Stegostoma tigrinum: one gene and its partners. The protein of the gene in region 3 binds, or shares a complex with, the protein of the main gene of each other region. Links are inferred from orthologs where the notes say so. Each region holds a gene or a part of one and is shown on either strand. Other genes may lie near its edges. The genes, in order: ppp4r2b, ppp4r4 and smek1.

What was found.
Region 1: smek1 (region 3) and ppp4r2b share a complex: the UniProt entries of both Homo sapiens proteins name them as parts of the PP4 complex. The link is inferred for Stegostoma tigrinum from reciprocal best matches to the Homo sapiens genes PPP4R3A and PPP4R2.
Region 2: smek1 (region 3) and ppp4r4 share a complex: the UniProt entries of both Homo sapiens proteins name them as parts of the PP4 complex. The link is inferred for Stegostoma tigrinum from reciprocal best matches to the Homo sapiens genes PPP4R3A and PPP4R4.

What each region holds. Positions count from the first base shown.
Region 1 is NC_081364.1:39,750,744-39,757,958, forward strand, and holds the start of ppp4r2b (serine/threonine-protein phosphatase 4 regulatory subunit 2-B), read right to left. Parts: upstream 3,073-7,215; 5' UTR 3,017-3,072; coding exon 2,983-3,016; intron 2,861-2,982; coding exon 2,779-2,860; intron 1-2,778. UniProt on the Homo sapiens protein: Regulatory subunit of serine/threonine-protein phosphatase 4 (PP4). May regulate the activity of PPP4C at centrosomal microtubule organizing centers.
Region 2 is NC_081363.1:25,918,309-25,925,759, forward strand, and holds the start of ppp4r4 (serine/threonine-protein phosphatase 4 regulatory subunit 4), read right to left. Parts: upstream 3,016-7,451; 5' UTR 1,867-3,015; coding exon 1,774-1,866; intron 1-1,773. UniProt on the Homo sapiens protein: Putative regulatory subunit of serine/threonine-protein phosphatase 4.
Region 3 is NC_081363.1:7,135,870-7,142,849, reverse strand, and holds the start of smek1 (serine/threonine-protein phosphatase 4 regulatory subunit 3), read right to left. Parts: upstream 3,013-6,980; 5' UTR 2,483-3,012; coding exon 2,341-2,482; intron 1-2,340. UniProt on the Homo sapiens protein: Regulatory subunit of serine/threonine-protein phosphatase 4. May regulate the activity of PPP4C at centrosomal microtubule organizing centers.

The DNA of each region.
Region 1 (7,215 bases), on a different chromosome or scaffold from region 3:
TGGCGAGGGAGAAAGGAGCTGGGGGTGGCGAGGGAGAAAGGAGCTGGGGGTGGCGAGGGAGAAAGGAGCTGGGGGTGGCGAGGGAGAAAGGAGCTGGGGGTGGCGAGGGAGAAAGGAGCTGGGGGTGGCGAGGGAGAAAGGAGCTGGGGGTGGCGAGGGAGAAAGGAGCTGGGGGTGGCGAGGGAGAAAGGAGCTGGGGGTGGCGAGGGAGAAAGGAGCTGGGGGTGGCGAGGGAGAAAGGAGCTGGGGGTGGCGAGGGAGAAAGGAGCTGGGGGTGGCGAGGGAGAAAGGAGCTGGGGGTGGCGAGGGAGAAAGGAGCTGGGGGTGGCGAGGGAGAAAGGAGCTGGGGGTGGCGAGGGAGAAAGGAGCTGGGGGTGGCGAGGGAGAAAGGAGCTGGGGGTGGCGAGGGAGAAAGGAGCTGGGGGTGGCGAGGGAGAAAGGAGCTGGGGGTGGCGAGGGAGAAAGGAGCTGGGGGTGGCGAGGGAGAAAGGAGCTGGGGGTGGCGAGGGAGAAAGGAGCTGGGGGTGGCGAGGGAGAAAGGAGCTGGGGGTGGCGAGGGAGAAAGGAGCTGGGGGTGGCGAGGGAGAAAGGAGCTGGGGGTGGCGAGGGAGAAAGGAGCTGGGGGTGGCGAGGGAGAAAGGAGCTGGGGGTGGCGAGGGAGAAAGGAGCTGGGGGTGGCGAGGGAGAAAGGAGCTGGGGGTGGCGAGGGAGAAAGGAGCTGGGGGTGGCGAGGGAGAAAGGAGCTGGGGGTGGCGAGGGAGAAAGGAGCTGGGGGTGGCGAGGGAGAAAGGAGCTGGGGGTGGCGAGGGAGAAAGGAGCTGGGGGTGGCGAGGGAGAAAGGAGCTGGGGGTGGCGAGGGAGAAAGGAGCTGGGGGTGGCGAGGGAGAAAGGAGCTGGGGGTGGCGAGGGAGAAAGGAGCTGGGGGTGGCGAGGGAGAAAGGAGCTGGGGGTGGCGAGGGAGAAAGGAGCTGGGGGTGGCGAGGGAGAAAGGAGCTGGGGGTGGCGAGGGAGAAAGGAGCTGGGGGTGGCGAGGGAGAAAGGAGCTGGGGGTGGCGAGGGAGAAAGGAGCTGGGGGTGGCGAGGGAGAAAGGAGCTGGGGGTGGCGAGGGAGAAAGGAGCTGGGGGTGGCGAGGGAGAAAGGAGCTGGGGGTGGCGAGGGAGAAAGGAGCTGGGGGTGGCGAGGGAGAAAGGAGCTGGGGGTGGCGAGGGAGAAAGGAGCTGGGGGTGGCGAGGGAGAAAGGAGCTGGGGGTGGCGAGGGAGAAAGGAGCTGGGGGTGGCGAGGGAGAAAGGAGCTGGGGGTGGCGAGGGAGAAAGGAGCTGGGGGTGGCGAGGGAGAAAGGAGCTGGGGGTGGCGAGGGAGAAAGGAGCTGGGGGTGGCGAGGGAGAAAGGAGCTGGGGGTGGCGAGGGAGAAAGGAGCTGGGGGTGGCGAGGGAGAAAGGAGCTGGGGGTGGCGAGGGAGAAAGGAGCTGGGGGTGGCGAGGGAGAAAGGAGCTGGGGGTGGCGAGGGAGAAAGGAGCTGGGGGTGGCGAGGGAGAAAGGAGCTGGGGGTGGCGAGGGAGAAAGGAGCTGGGGGTGGCGAGGGAGAAAGGAGCTGGGGGTGGCGAGGGAGAAAGGAGCTGGGGGTGGCGAGGGAGAAAGGAGCTGGGGGTGGCGAGGGAGAAAGGAGCTGGGGGTGGCGAGGGAGAAAGGAGCTGGGGGTGGCGAGGGAGAAAGGAGCTGGGGGTGGCGAGGGAGAAAGGAGCTGGGGGTGGCGAGGGAGAAAGGAGCTGGGGGTGGCGAGGGAGAAAGGAGCTGGGGGTGGCGAGGGAGAAAGGAGCTGGGGGTGGCGAGGGAGAAAGGAGCTGGGGGTGGCGAGGGAGAAAGGAGCTGGGGGTGGCGAGGGAGAAAGGAGCTGGGGGTGGCGAGGGAGAAAGGAGCTGGGGGTGGCGAGGGAGAAAGGAGCTGGGGGTGGCGAGGGAGAAAGGAGCTGGGGGTGGCGAGGGAGAAAGGAGCTGGGGGTGGCGAGGGAGAAAGGAGCTGGGGGTGGCGAGGGAGAAAGGAGCTGGGGGTGGCGAGGGAGAAAGGAGCTGGGGGTGGCGAGGGAGAAAGGAGCTGGGGGTGGCGAGGGAGAAAGGAGCTGGGGGTGGCGAGGGAGAAAGGAGCTGGGGGTGGCGAGGGAGAAAGGAGCTGGGGGTGGTGTCGGGGGGGGGCGAGGGAGAAAGGAGCTGGGGGTGGTGTCGGGGGGGGGGCGAGGGAGAAAGGAGCTGGGGGTGGTGTGGCGGGGGGCGCGAGGGAGAAAGGAGCTGGGGGTGGTGTGGGGGGGGCGAGGGAGAAAGGAGCTGGGGGGTGGCGTGTGGGGCGGTGAGAACGGAGAATGGGGGTGGTGTGTGGGGGGGTGAGAACGGAGAATGGGGGTGGTGTGTGGGGGGGTGAGAACGGAGAATGGGGGTGGTGTGTGGGGGGGTGAGAACGGAGAATGGGGGTGGTGTGTGTGGGGGGTGAGAACGGAGAATGGGGGTGGTGTGTGTGGGGGGTGAGAACGGAGAATGGGGGTGGTGTGTGTGGGGGGTGAGAACGGAGAATGGGGGTGGTGTGTGGGGGGGGTGGTGTGTGGGGGGGGTGGTGAGAACGGAGAATGGGGGTGGTGTATGGGGGGGGTGGGTTGTTTAGCCTTCCTCACTGTGAACCCTCCGACCACCCACAACTCTCCCCGGCTGAGAACTGAGTTGAGTTCCCTGCTCCCTCCCGGGCCTCAGGGCCCTCTCTCTCTCTCTCTCTCTCTCACGGTTTCACTCACAGGGTTTCTCCCGTCTTCGCGACATGACAAAGGAACTGGTCCAACAGCGACGACACTTCCTTCTTGGATTTCTTCTCGAAATCTGCCGGTGGGAAAGACACACACAGAGAGCACAGGTTATTCAAAGCCGTGGGGATCGGGATTCCCAGTCCCGCGGTGAGACACAAACCACCAACTAATGTTCGTTCGTCTGCCACCACTGACCTGACAGAGCTTCCAGGAGGCTCTCCGTCTCCATCTTGGAGGTGCAACTAAAACCGATTCCCCCTTTCCCCCCCCACCCCCGCGCCAGAAACCGGGACCCAGAGTACCACCGAATAAAGTTTCCCCCCGTTCCCTCTTTCAGTAGACAGCGGGCCCGGCACTGGGTGAAACACACAACATGGCGCCGCCCGCAGACGTCACTCCCATCGCACGGCGCGGTGGCGTCATCCACGCGCCTCGACGTGATGACGCCATCGCAGCTGGCGCAGGCGCGCATGAGCGGGCCTCCGAAGGCGAGGTTGACTGTCACGTGTGCGTCCCTTTCGCCCCACCCCCTACGTTGAGTATCATCACTGTGCGTCCTGGATATTCAATTGCTTCCCCAGTCTTTAAGCTCCTTTTTATGACGAAAGTGCGCCGAGGGAGGAGCTGTCCGAGGAACATTAAATTCCTACGCGTTTATTCCTGCACATGACGTAGAAATTGCGTGTAACAAGTGTGTTGGAGAAACTCTGTCTTCTAAAACTCTGTCTTCTAGATTGTGGCAAACCTGCTGTGTTTCTCTAGGTCTGGCGGCACCTGAAGGAACAAACTTTCCCCTATCTGGAGAAACCTCCCCCGCAGAACGGGCAGCCCTCCACTCCAACCCCAACCTCACCATCAAACCCGCAGACAAGGGTGGCGCAGTGGTAGTATGGCGCACTGACCTCTACATCGCCGAGGCCAGACGTCAACTCTCCGACACCACCTCCTACCGCCCCCTCGATCATGACCCCACACCCGAGCACCAAACCATCATCTCCAACACCATTCATGACCTCAACACCTCAGGGGACCTCCCACCCACAGCCTCCAACCTCATTGTTCCCCAACCCCGCACGGCCCGTTTCTATCTCCTTCCCAAAATCCACAAACCTGCCTGCCCTGGTCGACCCATCGTCTCAGCCTGTTCCTGCCCCACCAAACTCATCTCCACCTGTCTGGACTCCATTTTCTCCCCTTTGGTCCAGGAACTCCCTACCTGCGGCAGTGACACCACACACGCCCTCCACCTCCTCCAGGACTTCCAATTCCCTGGCCCCCAACACCTCATTTTCACCATGGACGTCCAGTCCCTATACACCTGTATTCCGCATGCAGATGGCCTCAAGGCCCTCCGCTTCTTCCTGTCCCACAGGCCCGACCAGTCCCCCTCTACCGACACCATATCCATCTAGCCGAACTCGACCTCACCCTCAACAACTTCTCTTTCGATTCCTCCCACTTCCTACAGACAAAGGGGTTGGCCATGGACACCCGCATGGGCCCCAGCTATGCCTGCCTCTTTGCAGGTTACGTGGAACCCTTTCCGCACCTACACAGGCCCCAAACCTCACCTCTTCGTTACATTGATGACTGTATCGGCGCCGCCTCTTTCTCCCCAGAGGAGCTCAAACAGTTCATCCACTTCACCAACACCTTCCACCCCAACCTTCAGTTCACCTGGGCCATCTCCAGCACATCCCTCACCTTCCTGGACCCCTCAGTCTCCATCTCAGACAACCAGCTTGTAACTGATGTCCATTTCAAGTCCACCAACTCCCACAGCTACCAAGAATACTCCTGCAAAAATTCCATCCCCTATTCCCAATTCCTCCGCCTCCGCTGCATCTGCTCCCACGATGAGGCATTCCACTTCCGCACATCCCAGATGTCCAAGTTCTTCAAAGACCGCAACTTTCCCCCCACAGTGGTCGAGAATGCCCTTGACCGCGTCTCCCGCATTTCCCACAACACATCCCTCACACCCCGACCCCGCCACAACCGCCCAAAGAGGATCCCCCTCGTTCTCACACACCACCCCACCAACCTCCGGATACAACGCATCATCCTCCGACACTTCCGCCATCTACAATCCGACCCCACCACCCAAGACATTTTTCCATCCCCACCCTTGTCTGCTTTCCGGAGAGACCACTCTCTCCGTGACTCCCTTGTTCGCTCCACATTGCTCTCCAACCCCACCACACCTGGCACCTTCCCCTGCAACAGCAGGAAATGCTACACTTGCCCCCACACCTCCTCCCTCATCCCTATCCCAGGCCCCAAGATGACTTTCCATATTAAGCAGAGGTTCACCTGCACATCTGCCAATGTGGTATACTGCATCCACTGTACCCGGTGCGGCTTCCTCTACATTGGGGAAACCAAGCGGAGGCTTGGGGACCGCTTTGCAGAACACCTCCACTCGGTTCGCAATAAACAACTGCACCTCCCAGTCGCAAACCATTTCCACTCCCCCTCCCATTCTTCAGATGACACGTCCATCATGGGCCTTCTGCAGTGCCACAATGATGCCACCCCAAGGTTGCAGGAACAGCAACTCATATTCCGTTTGGGAACCCCGCAGCCCAATGGTATCAATGTGGACTTCACCAGCTTCAAAATCTCCCCTTCGCCCACCGCATCCCAAAACCAGCCCAGTTCGACCCTCCCCCCACTGCACCACACAACCAGCCCAGCTCTTCCCCTCCACCCACTGCATCCCAAAACCAGTCCAACCTGTCTCTGCCTCCCTAACCTGTTCTTCCTCTCACCCATCCCTTCCTCCCACCCCAAGCCGCACCTCCATCTCCTACCTACTAACCTCATCCCACCTCCTTGACCTGTCCGTCTTCCCTGGACTGACCTATCCCCTCCCTACCTCCCCACCTATACTCTCCTCTCCACCTATCTTCTTTTCTCTCCATCTTCGGTCCCTGCCCCTCTCGCCCTATTTACTCCAGAACCCTCACCCCATCCCCCTCTCTGATGAAGGGTCTAGGCCCGAAATGTCAGCTTTTGAGCTCCTGAGATGCTGCTGGGCCTGCTGTGTTCATCCAGCCTCACATTTTATTATCTTGGTTTCTCCAACAATGTATGTTTTTGTTTCAGATTTCCCGAATTCGCAGTTCTTTGTTTTTTTTTGTCGGAATTATGCAGATGCACCTGTTCAGAGATGCATCAGTGCAGATAATGCGGATCAATTTTATGTTTTTGGAATATTTTCATACTTCAACCTGGGCTGAAATACTTTGGGAAGCTGCTTGTACCAAGCCACAATTTTTGGCACAGCGGTACGTATGTTCTCGAAACCTTTTGCCAACACTTTCATTCATGGATAGAACAGGTTGATCCAGTCAAGGTTTTGACATGAAAGAGTTGCACACATCCAACTCAATGACTGAAACTCTGCAGTTGCTATTCTTATTAATATTTGATTTTTAAAGTAATTCTTGATCAATTGGGAAGGCAGTGGCATAATGGTATTATCACGAGACATTAATCCAGACATCTAGGTTATGTTCTGGGGACAGATGATGGGATTTGAATTCAATAAAAATCTGGGATTAAGATTCTAATGATGACAGTGAAACTATTGCTGATTGTCAGGAAAAATCCATCTAATCACTAAAGTCTTCCAGAGAAGAAATTTTGCCATCCTTATCCAATCTGGCCTACATGTGATGCCAGATCCACAAGAATGTAGTTGACTCTCATCTGCCGTCTGGGCAATTAGAATGGGCAATAAATATTGGCCTTGCTAGTGATGATGTCCATGTCCTGTGAATAAACTTTTTAAAAGCTGCCTCAGACCCCAATATCTGTGTTCGTAATACTTGTGGTTCTGCTGCAGCCATGATTTTGCAGTTACACTTCTCCAATGTAGAACAGATATGGGGATGACTCTGGACTGCAACTTTGGAATGTACTAAGTTTATGATACCCCAGAAAAAAATAGGCTTATGCAAAACTATCAAATATACATTTCTTCCATCAAATTTTACATCAAAGCCATGTTAATTTTTACCAATATGGATACTATACTGATGCTTTAGCACACTTCAAACTCATACATACACATAATTATGTTTGTAATTATCCTTACAAAAATCAACATGTATATTTGCGCAGTTTCAACAGTTATTTGTATAGACCCTGTAATATAATAAATAAAAATTCCCAGCACACGTCACAGGAACATTGTGAAATAAAATATTGCATTAAAAAAAGAAGCAGGTTTCCAAAAATCATTGTGAAAGTGATCGTTTAGAGGATATTTTAAAATAAGAAATTTTGAAAGGCAGAGAGGCTTAGAAAGGAAATTCAAGAGTTTTCCGGAGCTGAGCCAGCTGAAACCATGGCCACCATTGGTGAGGCAATAAAAACCAAGGGATCAGAGTGTGATGAGTGCAGAAATCTGAGGATTTAACT
Region 2 (7,451 bases), about 19 Mb from region 3:
TTCAGACGTTTCATCACCATTCTAGGTAACATCATCAGTGAGCCTCCCACGAAGCGCTGGTGTTATGTCCCGCTTTCTATTTATCTGGTTAGGTTTCCTAGAGTTGGTGATGTCATTTTCTGTTTGAGAAGATTTGTAGCTCAGGTTGAGGTTCTGGATGTGAGTTTGCTCGCTGAGCTGGAAGGTTAGTTTTCAGACGTTTCGTCACCATTCTAGGTAACATCATCAGTGAGCCTCCGACGAAGCGCTGGTGTTATGTCCCGCTTTCTATTTAGGAAATGACATCACCAACCCAAGGAAACCTAACCAGATAAATAGAAAGCGGGACATAACACCAGCGCTTCATCGGAGGCTCACTGATGATGTTACCTAGAATGGTGACGAAACATCTGAAAACTAACCTTCCAGCTCAGCGAGCAAACTCACATCCAGAACCTCAACCTGAGCTACAAATCTTCTCAAAACTCGCTATTTACAACAATGTTGCAACAAGGGCACATCTGCCTGTTTGAATCAGTGTAAAAGAGCCCACAGACATGATTTATATACCTCAATCAACATCACAAAAAACACATTAGCTTGTCATTATCACCGCTGTTTGTGGAAGACTGTTTGCATAAATTGACTACTTCACTTTCTTCATTATTACACTGTAATGTGGTATATGAATGTAAATCTTCCTTTCTCTTCTTTCTACTAAAAGCATCTTATAATGGATAGTGATGAAAGGTTTATATATGCATTTGACAAACCATACAGCGTAAATTGCTCAAACTGACAAGAGTTTGCTAAAGCCGCCTCATCAGCCAAAGTGCTCTTTTTGGCAGAAACCATTTTTTAAAAGAAGAGTTTTAAGGTTATCAATCCATGCAGATTAACAACATACAGATACAGCGAAATACGGAAAACAGTGGAGAAACTGGATGGGTCAGACAGTTTCTGTGGAGAGCAGTTACTATTTCACTCTCTCTCCTCCTCCTCTGCTGCCCTGCTGAGCATTTCCAGCCGTGATTTTCTTTTAATTCACATATCCAGCATCTGCATTTTGATTTAGCATTGATTTAAAATTCAGATTCATCTGTTCTGTTGTACATAGTACTTTTAACAAAAATCTAGTTTGTATCATATCAGAAATGTCTCCATTAAATTAGTACATGAGATAGCAAATAGATTTCACATTGTAACAAGGTCCATGTTAATATTTGTTCAGAAATATAATCTGACCTATTCAATCTTGATTTATATTTGTCCCAATTTTTTCATATATCGATTAAATAAATCTAAAATTAAGTTATGGATTGAAATCTTAATAAATATGCTCGATATAAATGGCAGCGACACTTAAAATGTTAATAATGAACTGGTAAATGTTCTCGTTAAAATGAGTCATAATGTGCTAACAATTTCAGTGCGTACGGCAGATTTGATGTCTCAGTTGCTGATAACTTACATGATATAGCTTCTCTACCCTACGGCTGTAATCGGTAATAACTAGTGGAACTGTGTAACAAATCTGATTTTGTCTCTGTGCCCGAGACAGGCAGTCAATTTTCGCTTTAAATACATTTCCAGCACAGTGATTCAGGGGTAACGCAGGCTCTGCCTTCATTGCGCTGCAAGCGCAGCCCAGTGTAACCTTGATAGCTCTACTTACATACACGGATAGTGTACCTCATACATACATAATATGCACATACATATATATACATAATATATATATTTTCCACCATCACCATCATCCAACAACCACACTCCCCTTTCTCACATACACACCTTCAGGTATCGACGCACTGGTCTTTCGATGAAGCTAAGTTCCTGCAAATCTTCTATTTGCCCGAATAAATTCTCCTGGTTGAAATCCATCATTTTTTAAAAACAAAATAAGGATTCGAAGAGATGAGAATAAAGCAGCAGAGAGTTCGGGGAGGATGAAGACCTGTGTGCGTTTGTGTGTGGGTGCGGGTTTGAGCCGGGATCCGGGGGTGGGGAGAGGAGGCTGGGGGAAGAGTGTGCAGAGTGGTGGGGTGAAACTGGGGTGGGGTGGAGGTGAAGGTGGGGATGGCGAGAGGGAATAGAGAATGAGTGTACTGGTGGGAAGAGAAGGTGACGATGATAGGGGGAAGAACAGAGGATTAGAGCGGGGGAAAGAGTATGGGGAGGAAAGAGGGTGAAGATTGGCGGGGGGAGACGATGGGGGTCGGGGAGGAGAGTATGGGGAGAAGAGGGTGAGGATTGGGGGGAGAGGGTGAGGATCGGGGGAGAGAAGGGGGTGATGATCGATAGGGAGAAGAGGGTGAGGATTGGGGGGAGAGGGTGAGGATCGGAGGCGGAGAGGGTGACGATCGGAGGAGGGGGAAGAGGGTGAGGATCGGAGGCGGAGAGGGTGACGATCGGAGGAGGGGGAAGAGGGTGAGGATCGGAGGCGGAGAGGGTGACGATCGGAGGGGGAAGAAGGTGAGGATCGGTGGCGGAGAGGGTGACGATCGGAGGTGGGGGGGAAGAGGGTGAGGACCGGACAGGGCGAGAGGGTGCGTAAGGTGAAGGGAGGGAGGGTTGCGGGTGGAGAGAGGGATCAGAGAAGGGGAAGGTGGTCAGCGACTCTCCGACGATCCTAGCACCATATATCCCGGTATCCGAGCCGTCCGACCGGCAGTTGGAAGATGAGGCGCCACCTCTCCCAAACCTCGCTCTCTGCCCTCCCCCCGCCCCCACACCAGGCGGTGGAGGCTTAGGTTACCGGGGGTCTTCGGCCTCTTTCGGATCTCAGCGGCAGACTATCCCTTTCCTTTTCACCTGCCGTCAATCCACCAGGCGCAGGAGCTGCGTTACCGCCCCGCCCCCCCAACACACAAACGCTCTGTGTGGTATCTCTGTAGGTCACAGAGAGGGTCTTCGTGGTTATCCCCGAATCCGGGGGGGGGGGGGGGGGATTGTCCGAAAAGAGCGAAGCGGCGATCGTTTTCCTTCTCCCCAGAGCGGAGCCGGAGACGGGAAACCTCGACGGGCAGGTGAGTGGGAGGGAGGGAGCAGTGTGACCGGGACTGGGTTGGGGTGGGGGTGGGGGGAGGCGGTGAGGGGGTGGGGGGAGGGAAAGGCGCGCGGGGGCGGGGATGGACCTCTCCGTCTCCCTGGGCAGCCGCCGTCGCCAGGGCAACGAGTCGCTACGGCGAGCGTCGAGCGTCCCGATCTCCCACGCACGTCGGGACGGAAGGCGTTCGCTCGTCAGTTCGCACCTGCCTCGGGGACCGTCTTGACGTCCCTCACCCTCCCTTATCAATCATCACTTGGAGTTTAGTTTTCCTTTAATCCCGTCCCTGACGCACTCAAATCGCGGAGAACGCAAAGGACAACGAGGTTGTGGGTCTGGGGTTGGAGGGAAGAGTGGATCTGGAGTGTTTAAATTTTCGCCTCACCAACCCGTACACCTCTGGAGCAGGTGGGACGTAGTACCCCTCCTAGTACAGAGTCAGGGCCAATGCCACCAGCGTCTGGTGTGGGCCCGGATAGGGGGCTGCAGTTTACCTTTGACGATTGACTCCAAACAGTGATTTCTCCCAGTGTGAATCATCAAGTCTAGTGGGTGGGGGTCCTATTGTGTAAACCATGATTAATGCTGGAGGATCACTTGTGTTACATGTGCTGCTGGCAGATGCTTCAGTTTTCTGTGGGAATTCAGTACTTTTGGCGTTTCTGAAAAAGTAAAGATATTCTGCCCTCTCTCCCCAAGCTCGTGAACTCTTTTCATTTTTGCTGGAGTATCATCTCATGGCCTTTAGCCAACGAGCCATTTTAATGGGTGTCGTTTCCACAGCTCACTGGTAACTTTCCAAATCACAAGGTTGTGGGTTTAAGATTTTTGAGCACAAGAGGGAGGCTCACCCCTCCACTGAGAAACCATAAACAGTAGGCCCTTCAGCTTATTAAGTCTACTTGCCAATTACTGAGATCATAGCTGCTCTGACAATCATCAACTCCACTTTCCTGCCTTTTCCTCTATAACCCTTGACTCCCTTACTGAATAAAAATCTGACTTGCACTTAAGATCATCAAGATATGCGGCATGGAAACAGGCCCTTTGGTCCAACTCGTCCATGCTGATGATTTGTCCTATGTAATTCTAGTCCCATTTGGCCCAACTCCCTCTAAACCCTTCCTGTTCATATACCCATACTTTTAAATATTGTAATTATACCAGCCTCCACTTCCTCTGATAGTTCATTCCATACATGTGTGAAAATGTGACCCTTTAGGTCCCTTTTATATCTTTCCACTCTCAGTTTAAAGCTATGCCCTCTAGTTTTGTATTCCTCCACTCAGGGAAAAGACCCTGGCTATTTACCCTGTCCATGCCTCTTGTGATTTTATAAACCTCTACAAAGTCACACCTCAGCCTCTGACACTGTAGGGAAAATAGCCTGAGCCTATTCAGCATTTCCCTATGGCTTAAATCATCTCTACACTGTTGCATGATGACTAATAACAAACAACAGTACAGCCCTGGAAAAGGCACTTCAGCCCCCAAGATTGCACTGACACATAATGCCTTTCTAAACAAAAAAACCTCTTGCCTCTATGCTATTGATTTCCCTCTCTTCCCTGCCTATTCATATGTATGCCAAGATGATTCCTAAACATTCTATTCCACCATTTCCTCTGGCTATGCATTTCAGGGAATTACCATCCTCTGTATAAAAAAAACCAACATCTCACCTTTTAAACTTATCCCCTTTTACCTTAAATCCAAATCCACTACCTAGTATCAGTGATAATGGGAACTGCAGATGCTGGAGAATCCAAGATAACAAAGTGTGGAGCTGGATGAACACAGCAGGCCAAGCAGCATCTCAGGAGCACAAAAGCTGATGTTTCAGGCCTAGACCCTCTCCCTGGCAGTGCTAACCACTGTGCCAACATTTGTCAAAAATTTCATTCCACATGCAAACCACCCTCTGTGTAAAACATTTGCCTATCATGCATTTTTTATATCTCTCTCCTCTCAACTTAAATATGTGCTCCCTAGTCTGGAAATCCACCATCCTGGGGAAAAGATAACTTCCAGTAACTCCATCCATACCGCTATTATTTTATAAACTTCAATAAGTTCACCTCTCAACCTCCTATGCTCCAGTGAAAAAAGTTCCAGACTATCCAGCCTTTCTTTATAACTCAAACCTTCCATACTCGGCAACGTCCTAGTAAATCTCTTCTGAACCCTCACCAGCTTAATAATATCCTTCCTATAACTGGGTGACCAGATTTGGCCACAGTATTCCAGAAAAGGGCTCAACAACACCCTGGAAAACTTCAACATGGCTTCCCAACTCCTACACTCAAAGCACTGAGCAATGAAAGCAAGCATGTCAAATACCTTTTTAACTACCCTGTCTATATGTGATGCTAACTTCAAAGAATAATGTACCTGCACCCCTTAGTCCCCTGTTCTAAAGTACCACCCAAGGCCCTACTTCTAATTGTATAATTCTACACTGGGAAAAAGACTCCAACTATCTATTTTATCCTTGCCTCTCAAAATTTTGTAAACTTCTATCAGGTTTCTCTCATCCTTCATTCAAGTGAAAACAGACTAAGTTTGTCCAATCTTTCCTCATATCTCATACCCTCCAAACCAGGCAACATCCTGGTAAAATGTTCTGTACCCTCTCCAAAGCCTCCACGTCCTTCTGGTATTGTGGCAACCAGAACTGTACACAATATTGCAAATGTGACTTAACTAAAGTTCTGTACAGCTGCAACATGACTTGTCAATTTTTATACATAATGCCCCAAGTTTTGAAGGATAAAGCATGCTATATGCCTCCTTGACTATCTTATCCACTTGTGGGTAACTGGGAAGTGTTGCCTAGTGTACTGACTGATCCCTCAACCATTGTTCCCTGTGGTCAGTGTCACATGGTCTCGTGTACGGGGCCTTGAGTGCAATTTAATGTCTATGGCTCCCACATATAACGGTGTCCGCACTTGAAAAGTATTTACATGGAACGCAGAACAGTACAGTACAGGAACAGACCCTTTAGCCCATGATGTTGTGCTGAACATGATGCCAAATTAAACCAAACCCTTCTGCTTGCCCTTTCTTCATATTCCTCCATTCTTTGCAAACCCATGTGCTTATCTATAAGTATGTTAAACACCCCTACCATATCTGCCTCCACCACCAACCCTGGCAGTGAGTTTCAGACTCCTACCACTCACTGTGTAAAAAACCCCTCAGATCTCCTTTGAACTTTCCCCTTTCATTTTAAACACATGTCCCTTAGTATTAGACATCTCAACTCAGGGGAAAAGATTCTGACCATGAACCTTATCTGTGCATATCATAATTTTACAGACAACTGTCAAGTTTCCCTCAACCTCAGCTGCTCCAGACAAAACAACCCTAATTTTTCTAGCCCATCCGTATATAGCTCATACCCTCTAATCCAGGCGGCATCCTAGTAAACCTCTTCTGTCCCTCTTCAAAGCCTCCACCTAATTGGCTGTAAAGTATTTTGGGTTAGCTTGAGGTCAAGAAAGGCACCATATATCTTCCATTTTTCACCTGGGATTTTTCATATGGTGAATAAAAACCAAAAGAACTGCGGATGCTGTAAATCAGGAACTAAAACAAAGTTGCTGGAAAAGCTCAGCAGGTCTGGCAGCATCTGTGAGGGAAAACAAAAACAGAGTTAACGTTTTGGGTCTGGTGACCTTTCCTCAGAACTTTTCACATGGTGTGTTGACAATCTATTATAAAAATGTTCATCATATTTTTGTCCTCTCCTGTTCTACTCAAAAACAAAAGCTAAATGTCTGCTAAAGATATGAAATAATAATAAAAATCTCTTGAAATACTTTACACTCCTTTGGAGTGGAAAACAGAGTTAATGTTTCATGTTAATGAGCAACAGATCCTGGAATCCTCCAAACCTATTTAGCTCAACATCACAACAATGTGACTATCTGGTTTGAACCCAAATGGTTAATGGGACCAAAACCAGTCAGCATGTTAAACTGCAAAACTGTGATATCAAGGATAGCATCAAATGCATTTTAAAAGTTAACAAGAACAATCATTTGCACTAACAAAATGTACTGTAGCAACATAAAGCTCTTGGCCTGATATATATATATATGAATAAAGCTAAGGTTTAAAATGGAGACCACTCTTAAAGTAAGTACAAAAGAGAAGAAATTAGAGCAAAATAAATCACACACTACAAAGTAAAGAATTATTGAAAACAGAAAACATGGTGAAAGTTTCAATATCTACAAGTAAAACAAATTAAATGTAGTAATATAGTTGTTTGAAATGCAAGTAAGCTGATATATCTGTTATTCAAAGAAAATACTGGAAGGATATATGCCCACATCCTGACTGCAAAACATTTGATGATGATCAGAATCATCACACTGTAATTTGAGCTAATGATAGTTATCCCTTGAGTATTGTT
Region 3 (6,980 bases):
CTGGCTGGCATGCCATTCACCATCTTAGCCATTAACTTACCCCATCAATGATAATTTACCCAGGTTCCCTTAAAACACTTTCCGACCTACTCTGTTCCGGGTCCCCTGCTCTTTGTGATCTTTATAAATGACTTGGATGAAGAAATGGAAGAGTGGGTAAGTTAGTTTGCTGATGACATGAATGTTGGTGGAACAAAAACAAAATTGCTGGAAAAGCTCAGCAGGTCTGGCAGCATCTGTGAAGGAAAAAGAGTTAACGTTTCAGGTCTGGTGACCATTCCTCAGAAGGTCAGTGAAGTTGTAGAACGTGTGGAGGGCTTTTGTAGATTGCAACTGGACATTGACAGGATGCAGAGCTGGGGAAAGAAGTGGCAGATGGAATTCAATCCTGAAAAGTGTGGAGTGATTCATTTTGGAAGGTTGAATTTGAATGCAGAATACAGGGTTAATGGCAAGATTCTCGGCAGTGTGGAGGAACAGAGGGATATTGGGGTCCGTGTCCATAGAACTCTTAAAGTTGCTACCCAAGTTGTTAGGGTTATTAAGAAGGCATGTGGTGTGTTAGCTTCCATTGGCAGGGAAATTGAGTTTAAGAGCCATGAGGTTATGCTGCAGTTCTATAAAACCCTGGTTATAGGAAAGATGTGGAAGCTTTAGAGAGGGTGTAGAGGAGATTTACCAGGATGCTGCCTGGACTGGAGGGCAGGTCTTGAGGAAAGGTTGAGGAAGCTAGGGCTTTTTTCATCAGAGTGAAGGAAGATAAGAGGTGACTTGATAGAGGTGTACAAGATGATGAGTCATAGATATAGTGGATAGCTGGGGACCTCTCTCCCAGGGCAAAAATGACTTATGAGGGGGCATAATTTTAAGGTAATTGGAGGAAGGTATAGGGGAGATGTCAGAGGTAGGTTCTTCACACAGAGTGGTAGGTGTGTGAAACGTGCTGCCAGCAGTGATAGTGGAGTCAGATATATTTGGGATATTCAAGCAACTCTTGGACAGGCACATGAATGACAGTAAATTATAGGGTATACAGGGTAGTTTGATCTTAGGTTCATGATGTCGTGCCAACCTGTTATCCTACTCTAATGGCCTGTACTGTGCCGTACTGTTCTATGTTCTAACCCTTAACCTCTGCCACCTATAATAACAAGGACTGTAGATATACGGGACCAGATTCCTTTGAACCATAGACTGTCCCAACACTAACTGTTGCTATACCTTCACTGTCACTGGATCAAAATCCTGGAACCTCCTTCTGAGCAACACTGCTGTTTCAAGGTGGCAGCTTACTGCAACACCAATTAGAGCTGGATAACAGGTGTTGGCCTAGCATACACTATGTTCCAGAAAGAACCCAAAGTGTGTGCCTATGTGGGTAGAAGACAGAAGAATGTTATCAGCCAATCTCCAAATATACTGGTTAATGGGAACAAATGAGAACAAATGAGACTGAGGAAAGTTAAATCGAGGAGGTAGTGATTAAAATATGCCTCAAAAGTTGCTTATGAAACAGTATTAAACAGTCAGGAAGTGGAACTGCAGCTCTTTAAAATCACCTGACAAGTGGACAAAAAGATTGTGTTGGAAAATATTATCCTATGTAATCAATTCTCTTAAGTAGTGATGCCATCTGGAAGAAAACTTCCAATGTGTGTTTAAACAAGTCAATAATAACCCTGACAATGCTGAACGAGGGAAAGCTGGTTCTCAAAAGGCATAAACTTTTTGTTTTTCTCAAGTTTATTTTAAATGTTTCTCTTTATTTCTGAAAGTATTCATGCCACTCCATATATAAGTCCACATCAAAAATCACACAATGGATATTACGAAAAGGAGTCACTCTCGAAACGTTCACTTTGATTCTCCCCACAGATGCTGCCAGACCTGCTGAGTTTCTCCAGGACTTATATAGAAAATTCAATCAAGTACAGCCAGAATGTTCTCCTTTGGGAGAAAAAAAAGGAATGCCTTCAGGAGACTGTTGGCCAATACAAATCAGGTGGACAACCCCCTCGAGGATTAATGAGGGATAGGTATAAACTCTTTGTACAACACTAAACTTCTTTCGAGTCGTGCCGCGCAAAGGAGGGATCTTTAGCGCCACAAAAAAAATAGAAGCATACAAAAAACGCCACAGTGATCTCGTAACGAGAGGCTCCAACTTCAGATATAAACACAACAGTTCAAGAGAGAGTAACACAACCATGGATCGAGGGCTGAGGCCTGTAATTTCTCACCGATAGAACACGCTGTCAGGTAGCTGCTACACTCCCACCCCCAGTCCCACCCACCCACCCCTTCTGAAAAGGGGCATAATCTTATCCCAGGATCTCTTACCGTCAGACTCGGCCCTGACCAGGAGGGACATTCCCTTCAGGCGCTCCACATAGCTAGAAGAGACGTGTCCGGTGCCACGATCATCCCACTGCCTGTCCTCGTTGAGTGTATAAACCTTCACCCGCCTCCGGGTGTCCGCCATTGCCGTGGCTCAGGCTCGGGGAGGGGAGGAGGAAGCCCGGGGGTAGGAAGACGCTGTGGAGGGGAACCGATGCCAACCTCAACTCTCCCCTCCTCCAAACGCGCTTGAGAAACAACAAAAATAAATACCTTTTAAAAAGTCAAACTAAGATTTAAAAAACAATAGACAATCGGGCTGAATTCACAGGGCACTCATCCTTCCGAGACCTAGGCCCAGGCCGATGCCTTGGGCTCTGGTGATAAGAGGCCGGGAAAAGTCTCTCCCTCCCGCAGCCGACAAATTCTATCCTGCTCCGTGGCGTCAACACCCACTCGTTGATGACAGAATCAGGTCTATAACTCTGGATGATTTTAAATCCTCATTCCGGTATATATTTTTTTGAATGTGTCCTTTCTTGTTCCGAACTCGAAGAGGAGGTTATTTGCCCCCGCTCGCTGACTCTACGGCCTGTAAGAGGCCGCCCACCCGCTCTCTACTCCTCCGCCCCCCCCCTCGGAAACTCCGCCGCCGCTCCCTCATCCAGCGGCCGCCATGTTGCATCCTCTCCCCCCCCCCCCACGACAGGCAGCACGGGGTCTCCTGCCAGGGGCCGTCTTCCCGCCTAAACCGCCCGCTCACGCGCTCCCAGCCGAACGGCCATCGGTGGCGGCTGACCACCGGGAGGACAACCGTATGAGGGGTCAGTCAGGTAGTGACCAGAGGACTACGATATGAAGCCTTAGTCAGTGAGTGACCATCGGGAGGACCACTGTGTGAGGGGTCAGGCAGTGAGTGACCACTGTGAGGACCAATGTGTGAGCGGTCAGTCAGGTTGTTACCACTGTGTGAGGGCTCAGTCAGTGAGACCACCAGGAGGACCACCGTGTGAGGCCTTAGTCAGTGAGTGACCATCGGGAGGACCAATGTGTGAGCGGTCATTCAGTGAGTGACCACCAGGAGGACCAATGTGTGAGCGGTCAGTCAGTGAGTGAACGCTGGGAGGACCGCCACGTGAGTGGTCTATCAGTGAGTGACCACCAGGAGTACCACCGTGTGAGGGCTCAGTGAGTGACCACCAGGAGGACCACTGTGTGAGGGGTCTACCAGTGAGTGACCACCGGGAGTACCACTGTGTAAGGGGTCACTCAGTGAGTGATCACTGGGAGAAACACCGTGTCAGGGCTCAGTGAGTGATCGTCAGGAAGACCACTGTGTGAGGGGCCAGTCAGGTTGTGACCTTTGGGAGGACCGCCATGTGAGGGGTCAGTTAGGTGGAGATCACTGGGAGGACCACCATGTGAGTGTTCAGTCAGATATTGACCACCATATGAGAGGTCAGTCAGTTGTGACCATTAAGAGGGACCATTTTATGAGGGGTGAGTGACCAGCGGGAGGACCATTATGAGAAATCAGTCAATGAATAAACGTTGAGAGGACCACTGTGAGGGGTCAGCCAGTGAGTGACCATCAGGAAGACCACAGTGTGTGGGGCCTTTCAGTAACTGACCACCATGTAAGGAGTCAATCAATGAGTGACCACAAGGAGGATGACCATCTGAGAGGTCAGTCAGTGAGTGACCATTGGGAGGTTTGCTGTGTGATGGGTCAGTTAGGGTGACCATCAGTCAATGAGTGACCAGTGAGTTGACCCACTCTGTGTAGGTTCAGTGGGTCACCGTTCACACTCACTGTGTGTGATCATTGGGAGACATTATTGTGTGAGGTGTCAGCAAGTGACCACTGAGCTGGTCTTCTGTGTCAGGGATCAGTCAGTGAGTGACCATTGGGTGTGATCATTGTGTGAGGGTTCAGTCAGTGTTTGATCACCAGGTTGACCCACTGTGAGGAGTCAGTGTGTGAGCATGAAGAGGCCCCTATTGCTGAGGGGCTGGTCAGTCAGTGACCATTGAAAGGACACAGTCCTGAGGGATCAGTGAGTGACCATCGAGAGGATCCAGCACTGAGCGTTCAATCAATAAGGGACCATTGTGAGCACCCAGTGTTGAAGGGTAAATTAGTGAGTGACTATCGAGAGGGTCACGAGCTGAGGGGGTCAGTAAGTGAGTAAGTATTGTGAGCACCTAGTGCTGAAGGGTAAATTAGTGAGTGACTATCGAGAGGGTCACGAGCTGAGGGGGTCAGTAAGTGAGTAAGTATTGGGAGGACCCAGTGCTAAGAGGTTAGTCAGTCAGAGTTCACTGGGAAAGCCCAGTGCTGACGGTTCAGCCAGTGACTGACCTTCAGCAGGACCTGGTGTTGAGGGATCAGTCAGTGAGAGACCGTCGGGAGCAACGCTGAGGGATCAGTGAGCGACCACTGAGAAGACCTTGGACTGAGGTGTAATGTCAGTGTGACCATTAGTAGGGTCCCAATGTGAGGCAGGAAGGCCAATGAGTGAGAGACTGTCAAGAGGACCTTGTGTTAAAGTGATCATTGGGAGGACCATTGTGCTGAGTGGTCAGTAAATGAATGATCACTGATAGTGCCCGTTGGTCATTCAGTGACTGCTTGGCCTGCTGTGTTCATCTAGCTCCGCACTTTATCTCAGAATCTCCAGCATCTGCAGTTCCCATTATTTCTCATCAAAAAAGAAGTATTGTGATGACAGGTCAGAGAGTGACCACCAGGAGTGTGCTGTACTGAGGGGTCAGTCAGTACATTTGACCATCGGGATGCCCTGTGCGAGAGTTCAGTAAGCGAATGAGTGACCATAAGGATGCCTGTATGCTGTGGGTGTCGTATAGTGTGTGACCATCAGGACGTCACTATACTGAAGGAATCAGCCAACAAGTGATCATTTGGATATCCCTGTACTGTGGGGTCAATGAGTGACCATCAAGATATCTCTCCACTCCATCCGAATATCTGTATACACTAAGGACTCCCTATTTTCCTAAGTTGATTCTTGGTAAGGAGGAATGTCCCTATGAGTAGGTTGGGCTTGTATTCGTTGGGGTTTAGGAGAACGAAAGGAGACTGTATTGAAACATATAAGATCTTTCTGAGGCTTGATGCAGTAGATGTTGAGAAATTCTGTTCCCTTTGTGGAGGGTTTAGGACCAGAAGACATAACTTCAGAGTAAGGAGTCACCCATTTAAGGTAGGAGATGAGGAATTTTTTTTTCCCCTCAGAATGTGGTGAATTCTGTACAATTCTTTATTGCAAAGGTTTTGAGGTTCTGTCATTAACTATGTTTAGTGCTGAGATTGACTTTTAATCGGCAAAAGAATTAAGGGTTATGAGGAAAAGGTAGGAAAGTGGAGCCATGATCCCACATTGTCTACTTCTGTTCCTTCATCTCATGGTCTTGAGGTCTTAACTGCCTTAAAAATGTTCAATGATTAACCTTCCATTGCCTTCTGAGATAGTGACCTAAAACGTCACAGAGGTTTATCAGAGAAAAATATTGTGCTCTTCTCTGCCTTAAAGGATAACACCTAATTTTTAAATATCAACCCGCACCCCAAGTTCTGGACTTAATACAGAAGAGGGAACCATCCTTCCACATTCCCCTTGTCAAGTCTATTCAGGATCTCATGTACTTCAGTCGTCTCCCCTTTTTGAAACACTCATGGAGCTTGTTGCATTTAGACATTTAGTGATGTGGAACCTTGTCCTTTTTTACATCTACACTTTTTAAATCTCTTGCTATTTAAGAGGTATATCTGTGTCACTTGATACTGTGCATATCTGTTTCTCCTATCAACATGGATAACCTCACAATTTTCCACATTTCATCTGCCATATCAATTCAAATTGAAGTCACTATATCTTCCTCACTGCAGACATTCTTTGTGCTAGCTTTGAGTCAGCTACAAACTTAGAAGTATCACATTCAGTCCTCATATTCAAATTTTATATATATGGGTTTAATATGTAGCAAATATAGGGACCAAGTACTGATCTTTGCATTACCTCACTAGTTGAAGCTCGCCATGTGAAAGTGACCATTCATTCTTACTCTTTGCTTCTACCTGTTGTTAGCTACTTCTTAATCTATGCTAGTATCTTGTTTCCTACTTGCTCTAATCTTAATAACCAATTTCCTGCAATTTCACAAAAGCCTTTTGAATGCCACTTCTAATGATTTTCTCTTATCAATTCTATAATAGTGTACCAAAAAAAAACACTAGTTTTGTCAAACACATTCCAATGCAAGTTTCAATTCTGAAGAAGGGCCTAGGCCCGAAACATCAGCTTTCCTGCTCCTCTGAAGCAGCTCGGCCTGCTGTGTTCATCCAGCTCTACACTTTGATATCTTCAATCCAGTAAACTTTATCTGAACCACATCAAACATATTTACTTGCCTTCTGAACTAAGGAGACTAAAACTGCACTATATCTGAGATGTTATATCACAAACACTCTGTATAATTGAAGCATAGTGTCCCTACTTTTATGTTCAATTCCTCATAATTGATAGCATTCCATTAGACTTCTTTATTATTTTTTCTGCCTGGATACTACCTATTTTTAAACCTATTTACCAAATCAGCCTAATAAAAAGCAAAAGAACTGC